Linked DNA regions of Saccharomyces cerevisiae S288C. The protein of the gene in region 2 binds, or shares a complex with, the protein of the main gene of each other region. Each region holds a gene or a part of one and is shown on either strand. Other genes may lie near its edges.

Evidence for each region. Proteins that work in one complex are often made in the same cells at the same time.
Region 1: RSC2 (region 2) and RSC3 share a complex: the UniProt entries of both Saccharomyces cerevisiae proteins name them as parts of the two forms of the RSC complex.

What each region holds. Positions count from the first base shown.
Region 1 is NC_001136.10:1,068,209-1,073,228, reverse strand, and holds RSC3 (Rsc3p), read left to right. Parts: upstream 1-1,842; coding exon 1,843-4,500; downstream 4,501-5,020. Other genes in the region: HNT2 (bis(5'-adenosyl)-triphosphatase), read left to right, coding at 1-483; peptidylprolyl isomerase family protein CPR5, read left to right, coding at 672-1,349; mannose-ethanolamine phosphotransferase GPI11, read right to left, coding at 4,839-5,020. UniProt on the Saccharomyces cerevisiae protein: Component of the chromatin structure-remodeling complex (RSC), which is involved in transcription regulation and nucleosome positioning. RSC is responsible for the transfer of a histone octamer from a nucleosome core particle to naked DNA.
Region 2 is NC_001144.5:839,442-844,500, forward strand, and holds RSC2 (Rsc2p), read left to right. Parts: upstream 1-1,889; coding exon 1,890-4,559; downstream 4,560-5,059. Other genes in the region: ATG33 (Atg33p), read left to right, coding at 880-1,473; YLR358C (uncharacterized protein), read right to left, coding at 4,046-4,609; adenylosuccinase ADE13, read left to right, coding at 4,841-5,059. UniProt on the Saccharomyces cerevisiae protein: Component of the chromatin structure remodeling complex (RSC), which is involved in transcription regulation and nucleosome positioning. RSC is responsible for the transfer of a histone octamer from a nucleosome core particle to naked DNA.

The DNA of each region.
Region 1 (5,020 bases), on a different chromosome or scaffold from region 2:
TTAAACTTATCAGATCTGACCATGCCTGAATCTCAAGATTATTTCAAGACTTTACAGTTAATACATAGATTTATTAAGTGGCAATATAAGGCTGACTCTATCAACGTTGCCATCCAAGATGGACCTGAGGCCGGACAGTCGGTACCCCACTTGCATACACACATTATTCCACGTTATAAAATAAACAATGTAGGGGATTTAATATACGATAAATTAGATCATTGGGATGGTAATGGGACTTTGACTGATTGGCAAGGAAGAAGAGACGAATATTTGGGTGTTGGTGGTAGGCAAGCAAGAAAAAATAACTCTACATCGGCCACTGTAGACGGGGATGAACTCTCACAAGGTCCTAATGTCTTGAAGCCAGACAGTCAAAGGAAGGTTCGAGCTTTAACCGAAATGAAAAAAGAAGCTGAGGATCTTCAAGCCAGACTAGAAGAATTTGTATCTTCTGATCCTGGTTTAACACAATGGTTATAGTTCAATAAATAATAGATTCATACTTACGATATAAAAAATAGTAGGGAAGTTAATTTTCGTTTCGCAGCGAATCCCTTTTAGCAGAGGAAAAAAAAGATGAAACCATCCTTACTACTTTCCTCGAGGAGACTCAACAGTAAAGGTTACTTTCAATTCAATAAACAAAAGGCACAGCGATATCCGCAATTATGAAGCTTCAATTTTTTTCCTTTATTACCTTATTTGCTTGTCTCTTCACAACAGCCATTTTTGCGAAAGAGGACACGGCAGAAGATCCTGAGATCACACACAAGGTCTACTTTGACATTAATCACGGTGATAAACAAATTGGTAGAATTGTTATGGGATTGTATGGTCTCACCACACCCCAAACCGTTGAAAACTTTTACCAGTTGACCATTTCCAGGGACCCTAAGATGGGTTATTTGAACTCTATCTTCCATCGCGTTATTCCTAACTTCATGATTCAAGGTGGCGATTTCACTCACAGATCAGGTATTGGGGGTAAGTCTATCTTCGGAAACACGTTCAAAGATGAGAATTTTGATGTCAAACATGACAAACCAGGCAGATTGTCTATGGCCAATCGTGGTAAAAACACCAACGGATCCCAATTTTTCATCACCACCGTCCCATGCCCATGGTTGGACGGTAAGCACGTTGTCTTTGGAGAAGTCTTGGATGGTATGGACGTAGTTCACTACATTGAAAACGTTAAGACCGACAGTAGAAATATGCCTGTAAAGGAAGTTATTATTGTGGAAAGTGGTGAACTGGAAACTGTTCCTTTGGACAATAAAGACGCCGCCAAGCTACAGGAAGAGATCAAAGCGGAAGCTAGCGAAGCAGCCCACGATGAACTCTAAACTGCATCACTATTCAGGAGATGTATAGGCCAGCTATGTAACTATATAGTGCTTATAACAGTTGATTATCACATAGAACGAGTATGTTACCCTATGGCCCTTTTCTGGCACAACTTCACAAGAGTATTTCAATTGACCAACGTGGGTCTTGTTGACCAGCTGGGATCACACAGACCAAGAACTACCTTTATTATTAGGAACATACTGCTTTCTGGACACTTCCACTGCTATACCTTCTCGCAAATAGCCATAGTTCACCAATATTCATTCGGCCCGTTAGACGCTTGTAAGACCACTTTCCCGTTTTCGCCCGAGAAGATATATTAGCTGCTTACATTAGATTATTTCATCAAAACTCACGGCTTTCAAACCAAAGTCATTGGTGCTCTGCTGCAATTGCCCCATACTACGCAGATATTTAAAATCGAGGTTTCTGTGATATTTTCTTAAGCTCTTATCTACAAAAATAGCATTTCAGAACCAAAAAACAACGATGGATATTCGTGGTAGAAAAATGAAAAAACCGCCTGCATGCGTGCAGTGCCGTAAGAGGAAGATAGGCTGCGATCGTGTTAAGCCGATTTGTGGGAACTGTATGAAGCATAATAAAATGGACTGCTTTTATCCGGACGTTCCCGGACAATACGTTCCCTCTAGTTCTTCCTCTTCCAATACACGCCAAGTAGCCAACGGTCCGTACTTAAACTCTTATTACGCTTCTCGTCGTGTCTCCAAGGAAACTGCTGCACTTTTGCAGAAAAATCCAGAACTGGCTTCTTTGGAGCAAATAAGAGAATACAACACGCGTCTGCAACTGCTCAATGCTCAAAATCAACTTAATAATAGATCATCTGCGGCAAATGCAACCTTGAATCAACAACACACTCAATATATTCCAAAATCAGTGCCTTCCTTGGAAAGTAAGCCAGTCACTTCTGCAAACGAATCTTCTACTCCACTCAATTGGGTTCAAGGCCCTGCAATTTTTCATATGCTAACCTCTCCTTACACACAAGATGAAATCATCAATCATGAAATGAATTTCTTGAAAGGCAGACTACTGGAATTGCAAGAAATTACAGGTAAGAAAATTACGGGAGTAAATCTTGATCTCAAGCAGGATTCCTCAGCGCAAATGCAGTCTTCACACTCCAATAGAAACCAAGAGGAGTTTTTGACAATTAAGAAAAGAAAACTGAGTGAAGACGGCGTTACGGACGGGGACGGTAAGCCAATTCCAGAGAGTGAAAGAAGACCTCATCTTAATGAATTTAAGGATTTAGATCCTCAATTTTTGGATACTAATAAAGTTTTTAATGTGTTTAATTCTGCTATTTCAGAAGAAGGTAGAAACAGATTATGGCTGTTACCAAAAAATATAAATAAAAGTTCTATCTTCCAGATTCAGTATTTGATTGAACGTGATCCTTTCCTATTCAAATTCTTCAATGACTTGAATATATTAATTGAAACGCAATTTAATGGACCTTTGCACGATTTGGTAGCAAGCCGTAACAGTATTGAGCGCAACAGTGGCATATCTCAAATATTAAAGTTTCCTTCACAATCGATAACACAGACCCTTATCAACAAATACTTATCCACGATAACGGAAACGAATTCAATACTTCCAATATTAAAACCAAAGAGACTATTACCCATAGTTGAGCAGCTTTTTCCTTCTAACACCATTAATAAGCCAAATTCTAAAGATTTTGAAACTATTTTTCAAGTTTTTAGTGTGACCAATGATCAGCTACTAAATCTAGGATTTATTACTCTCTGTCTCCTGATTCTTTTTGAATCGTTGAATTCTACGGTTTTGATTCCTCTTAGAGATGATGAACACTTGCAATTATTCAATGTGTTATTCAACTACTTGCCTTTGTTGAAGTCTAATTTAACAACGCTTAGATTTGAAATTGAAAAAAGGTCAATGTGTAATATAGAGACCCTGCGGTTTATTTCTTTGTGGAAATATTACCAATTTGTGATGGACACGTCGTCATCGTCCTCTTTCGTAATTGATTACGACGAAGATATGCATATGGCATGTTTACTATCGTTAAATCATGAAACTCAAAATCAATCTCATATTTTGACCTGGAATTTCATATTTAAGAACTACTGCTGGAGACACCTTTTCTTAGGTCAATTGCCGTTGCTAATGTCTGAACCTTTCACAAATTCTACCCCAATTATTGATCCTTTGTTGAACAACGATTTTGAATTGATTGATTTTGAAGTAAACTTGATGAAATATTTGCAAAGTAAAGATCAACAACTATCCATTGATAAAATTATACAGTTAATCAAGCTTTTGAAAAATAAGAATATCGAGGTCAGCCAAGGATGTTTAACGACTCCTTCAATAATTAATAATATCATGGATTCTCTAATCTACAGGAATTCAATGTTATATTTGAACTTTTACCTCTTATTGCAATTTGAAACATTGAAAAATTATGCTAAATTTAACGAAATTTTGGAAGACTTTTTGGAATTGTCGAGGGAGACCTTGTTCTTTGTTTTCTCGAACTTAGCCAATATTAAATTTGCTGGTCATGAATTCACATTCATCAATAAATCTATTGTGGTTCTGCAAACTTTAGTTTTAATGCTTTTGGCGCTCTATCAAAGGTCTTTTGATTCTTCAAAGAGGACGAATGATGCTAATGAAATCAGTGAGCAAACAGATATTCATAGTAATAACGACAATAGTAAGAGAATAAAGAATAAAAATGTTATTCATTTAATTATCAACAAAATTGCAATGTTGTTAAGTGATTATACCAAGAATTGTAAAAAGCAAAATAAACTCATCGAAAATCTGATTATTAAAATTAAGACAATCTCCAAGTATATCAAAAATCTTGAGGAGAATAAGGTAACGACTAGCGCCGATTCAAATTATTCCATTAATAACGGATTTTCTGGCATATCTGCAGAGCAGTTGATTAAATTAAATCACGAGTTGAGTAAAATTTCAGAATCTCTGATAAAAACGGATTTTTATGAACAGAGGAAAAATAGCACAGTTTCTAATGGAGTTTTAGGCGCAGCAGCTCCTGTTGATAGCGACGCAAATTCGGATACTTTCGGTTTAACAAAGGAGAATTTCAACGAAGTTTTTGAGGCTATTCGTAGCTAAAGCGACTCAAACAAATTAAAGAAGAAGTTGAGACTTTTATAGTATTTATTATTTAATCTGAGGATTTGTATTATTTTTTTATATAGAATGAATAAATCAGAAAAAGGAAATTATGAAAAGAAAAGAATGAGGAGAGTGGGAGATATTTAATGTTGTTAGCTATTTATCTGTATGGAAGTTATTACCTTCTTTTAAGATGGTACAAATAGCATATAGGTGGGTTTGGTATAAAGATCATTTAGTTTTTGTCATAGATTTTTCAATTGTGCATAGGACCAGTTTATGTTACCTCTATCATACTTATATTTTTTTATATACAAATTTTTAAATTACCGATATTATATATAGGCACCGATAGTATAGCCCACCAAAGCGCCCAAATAACCTCCAACAACAATAGGAATTGGCCAATTCTGCCAATCTCTATCCCAATCCAAAGGAATGACAACACAACTAATCCAACCCCCTACAACGATAAAGATAAAATACTTCTTCCATAATCCCACTTTGAAATCACAAT
Region 2 (5,059 bases):
TTCTTGTACGATTAATTATTTTTTTTTTGCGTCCTACAGCGTGATGAAAATTTCGCCTGCTGCAAGATGAGCGGGAACGGGCGAAATGTGCACGCGCACAACTTACGAAACGCGGATGAGTCACTGACAGCCACCGCAGAGGTTCTGACTCCTACTGAGCTCTATTGGAGGTGGCAGAACCGGTACCGGAGGAGACCGCTATAACCGGTTTGAATTTATTGTCACAGTGTCACATCAGCGGCAACTCAGAAGTTTGACAGCAAGCAAGTTCATCATTCGAACTAGCCTTATTGTTTTAGTTCAGTGACAGCGAACTGCCGTACTCGATGCTTTATTTCTCACGGTAGAGCGGAAGAACAGATAGGGGCAGCGTGAGAAGAGTTAGAAAGTAAATTTTTATCACGTCTGAAGTATTCTTATTCATAGGAAATTTTGCAAGGTTTTTTAGCTCAATAACGGGCTAAGTTATATAAGGTGTTCACGCGATTTTCTTGTTATGTATACCTCTTCTCTGAGGAATGGTACTACTGTCCTGATGTAGGCTCCTTAAATTGGTGGGCAAGAATAACTTATCGATATTTTGTATATTGGTCTTGGAGTTCACCACGTAATGCCTGTTTAAGACCATCAGTTAACTCTAGTATTATTTGGTCTTGGCTACTGGCCGTTTGCTATTATTCAAGTCTTTTGTGCCTTCCCGTCGGGTAAGGGAGTTATTTAGGGATACAGAATCTAACGAAAACTAAATCTCAATGATTAACTCCATTTAATCCTTTTTTGAAAGGCAAAAGAGGTCCCTTGTTCACTTACAACGTTCTTAGCCAAATTCGCTTATCACTTACTACTTCACGATATACAGAAGTAAAAACATATAAAAAGATGTCTGTTTGTTTAGCCATCACAAAAGGTATCGCAGTTTCTTCTATAGGCCTCTACTCTGGTCTTTTGGCTTCCGCTTCATTGATTACATCTACTACTCCACTAGAGGTTTTAACAGGATCCCTTACTCCCACTTTAACCACTTTGAAAAATGCGGCCACCGCCTTGGGAGCGTTTGCGTCAACTTTCTTTTGTGTGAGCTTTTTCGGCGCTCCTCCCTCATTGAGACACCCCTACTTACTCTATGGTATGCTTGTAGCTCCATTATCTTCATTTGTTCTAGGATGTGCCTCCAACTATCAGTCTAGAAAGTACAGTAAAGTCTCTAAGGAATCTTCTTTATTTCCCGAAGACAGCAAACTCGCTGCTTCCGAACTGAGCGATTCTATTATTGATTTAGGTGAAGACAACCATGCTTCAGAAAATACACCTCGAGACGGGAAGCCTGCAGCAACCACAGTATCAAAGCCGGCAGAGGCATTGCACACCGGTCCCCCAATCCATACTAAAAATCTAATTGCAGCAACTGCTATTGCTATTGTTGGCTTTGTACAAGCCGTTATTGGCGTTTATGGGGAAGGACAATTTATCTAGTGTTTCTCGTTCACGTATTTATCTCTACAAGAATTTGTAGCTGCCTGAACTCGGCTCCTCTCTCTCTCCAAAAATAAAGTGTGTAGTAATTTGCAGTTTTTTTATATATTCCTACGAGTTTTCAAACGTTCAAAAGACAGTATGTTCAAAAATTGTGCATACACACACGTATGCACATATATACATAATAATACACTGTAATAAGCACATTTGTAGGTGCTCTTGCACTTGGTTTATTACTGTCACTGACTTTTCTCACCCGGCCGAGAGTCGTGCGAAAATTCGCATGTTAAAGTGAGAAAATAGAGAAAACAACACAGCTGAAAAAAGTATTGGTAACAGTTCAATACGTGATCAAATATACAGCACGTCGCGCAGAACCAGACGAAGCGGAGAATATTCTACATTGACAGTGCATGATGCCTGATGACAATTCAAACTCGTCCACTCAAAACTCAAGCGCATTATACAAGGACCTGAGGAAAGAATATGAATCTCTTTTCACTTTAAAGGAAGATTCTGGGTTAGAGATTTCACCAATATTCAATGTCCTTCCACCTAAAAAGGATTATCCTGACTACTACGCAGTGATCAAGAACCCTGTATCTTTCAATACTTTAAAAAAGCGTATTCCACATTATACAGATGCTCAACAGTTTATGAACGATGTTGTCCAGATTCCATGGAATGCCAAGACTTACAATACAAGAGATTCAGGAATTTATAAATACGCCTTAGTCCTTGAGAAATATTTAAAGGACACAATCTATCCAAATTTAAAAGAAAAATATCCTCAATTAGTGTATCCTGATTTGGGTCCTCTACCCGATGAACCAGGTTATGAAGAGTTTCAACAGAAATTAAGAGAAAAAGCTGAGGAAGTAGCGAGAGCTAATGCAGCCAGAGCCGAGTCGAGCTCTTCAATGAATTCAACAGAAGCAGCCAGAAGATTAAGAAAGACTCGTACTTCCGTCAAAAGAGAATCAGAACCAGGAACCGATACAAATAATGATGAGGACTATGAGGCGACGGATATGGATATCGATAACCCTAAGGATGCTGATTTTCCTGATTTGATAAGAAAGCCACTAATAAATATTAATCCATATACTCGGAAACCATTAAGAGACAACAGGTCCACTACTCCATCTCACTCAGGCACCCCTCAGCCGTTAGGCCCAAGGCATAGACAGGTATCCAGAACTCAGGTAAAGCGTGGGAGACCCCCAATCATCGACTTACCGTATATTCAAAGAATGAAAAATGTTATGAAAGTACTAAAAAAAGAGGTGCTAGATAGTGGAATTGGTCTAACTGATCTTTTTGAAAGATTGCCCGATAGACACAGAGATGCAAATTACTACATCATGATTGCTAATCCAATTAGTCTTCAAGACATAAATAAAAAGGTAAAGACTCGTCGTTATAAAACGTTCCAGGAGTTCCAGAATGATTTTAATCTTATGTTAACCAACTTTAGAATTTCGCACAGAGGTGATCCTGAAAGCATAAAAATTTCAAATATCTTAGAAAAGACCTTTACTAGTCTGGCAAGATTCGAACTATCCAAACCTGATAGAAGTTTCATTCCAGAAGGCGAGCTAAGATACCCTCTAGATGAAGTCATTGTAAATAATATATCATACCACGTGGGAGATTGGGCACTTCTTCGAAATCAAAATGATCCTCAAAAACCTATAGTGGGCCAAATATTCAGGCTATGGAAGACACCAGATGGGAAACAATGGTTAAACGCTTGTTGGTATTACAGACCCGAACAAACTGTGCATAGAGTGGATAGATTGTTTTACAAAAACGAAGTTATGAAAACAGGTCAGTACCGTGATCATTTAGTGTCAAACTTAGTTGGGAAATGCTATGTGATTCACTTTACTAGATATCAACGTGGTAATCCCGATATGAAATTGGAGGGTCCCTTGTTCGTTTGCGAATTCCGTTATAATGAATCCGATAAAATTTTTAACAAGATTAGAACCTGGAAGGCTTGCTTACCAGAGGAAATTCGTGATTTGGACGAAGCTACCATTCCGGTAAATGGTAGAAAGTTCTTCAAATATCCTTCCCCCATAAGACATCTACTACCAGCTAATGCAACGCCGCATGATCGCGTTCCTGAACCAACGATGGGATCCCCGGACGCGCCACCATTGGTCGGTGCCGTTTATATGAGACCTAAAATGCAGCGTGACGATTTGGGGGAATATGCAACCTCTGATGACTGTCCCAGGTATATTATCAGACCCAACGATTCTCCCGAAGAGGGACAAGTGGATATAGAAACAGGTACGATCACCACAAACACGCCAACAGCAAATGCTCTTCCTAAAACAGGATACTCAAGTAGTAAACTATCCAGTTTAAGATATAACAGGTCATCTATGTCTTTAGAAAACCAAAATGCTATTGGCCAGCAACAAATACCACTGTCAAGAGTTGGTTCCCCTGGCGCGGGAGGCCCGCTTACTGTACAAGGTTTAAAGCAACACCAATTGCAAAGGTTACAACAGCAGCAACATCAATACCAACAACAGAAAAGATCCCAAGCATCACGTTATAATATCCCAACAATAATCGATGATTTAACATCGCAGGCATCAAGAGGTAATTTGGGTAATATAATGATCGATGCAGCCTCCTCGTTTGTCTTACCTATCTCTATAACCAAAAACGTAGATGTTTTGCAGCGTACTGATCTGCACAGCCAAACCAAGAGATCTGGAAGAGAAGAGATGTTTCCATGGAAAAAAACAAAGGGTGAAATATTATGGTTCAGAGGACCTAGTGTGATAGTAAATGAACGAATAATAAATTCAGGTGACCCACACCTAAGCCTGCCACTGAATAGGTGGTTTACCACTAACAAGAAAAGAAAACTAGAATACGAAGAAGTTGAAGAAACCATGGAAGATGTGACTGGAAAGGACAAAGATGATGATGGCTTAGAACCGGATGTTGAAAATGAGAAAGAGTCCTTGCCAGGCCCATTTGTCCTTGGATTAAGACCCTCGGCTAAGTTCACGGCGCACAGACTCTCTATGCTGCGGCCTCCTTCGTCGTCTTCATGATCACCTTTATTGTAAAAGCAATGGCAGCATAATATCTTCCCATTGCGCATTACCCTCCGCGAGCAGAGTCAAACTTCAAACAAAGCAGGAAAATGAAATAAAACAGAAGTTATTATATAGAAGAAAGTCATCTATAGATATATTATCGTTGTATTAATAGTAGCCATATAAAACAATTATACTTCATCACCAACCTCTCAAAATTTCTTCCCCAAGGACCAAAGCTTTTCCAGTAAGTTGCTACAACTAAAGTGAAATAAACTATCCGAATTATATAAAAGATGCCTGACTATGACAATTACACTACGCCATTGTCTTCTAGATATGCCTCCAAGGAAATGTCAGCAACGTTTTCTTTGAGAAACAGATTTTCCACATGGAGAAAACTATGGTTAAATTTGGCTATTGCTGAGAAGGAATTGGGCTTAACTGTTGTTACAGATGAAGCAATTGAGCAAATGCGCAAACACGTCGAAATCACTGATGATGAAATCGCAAAA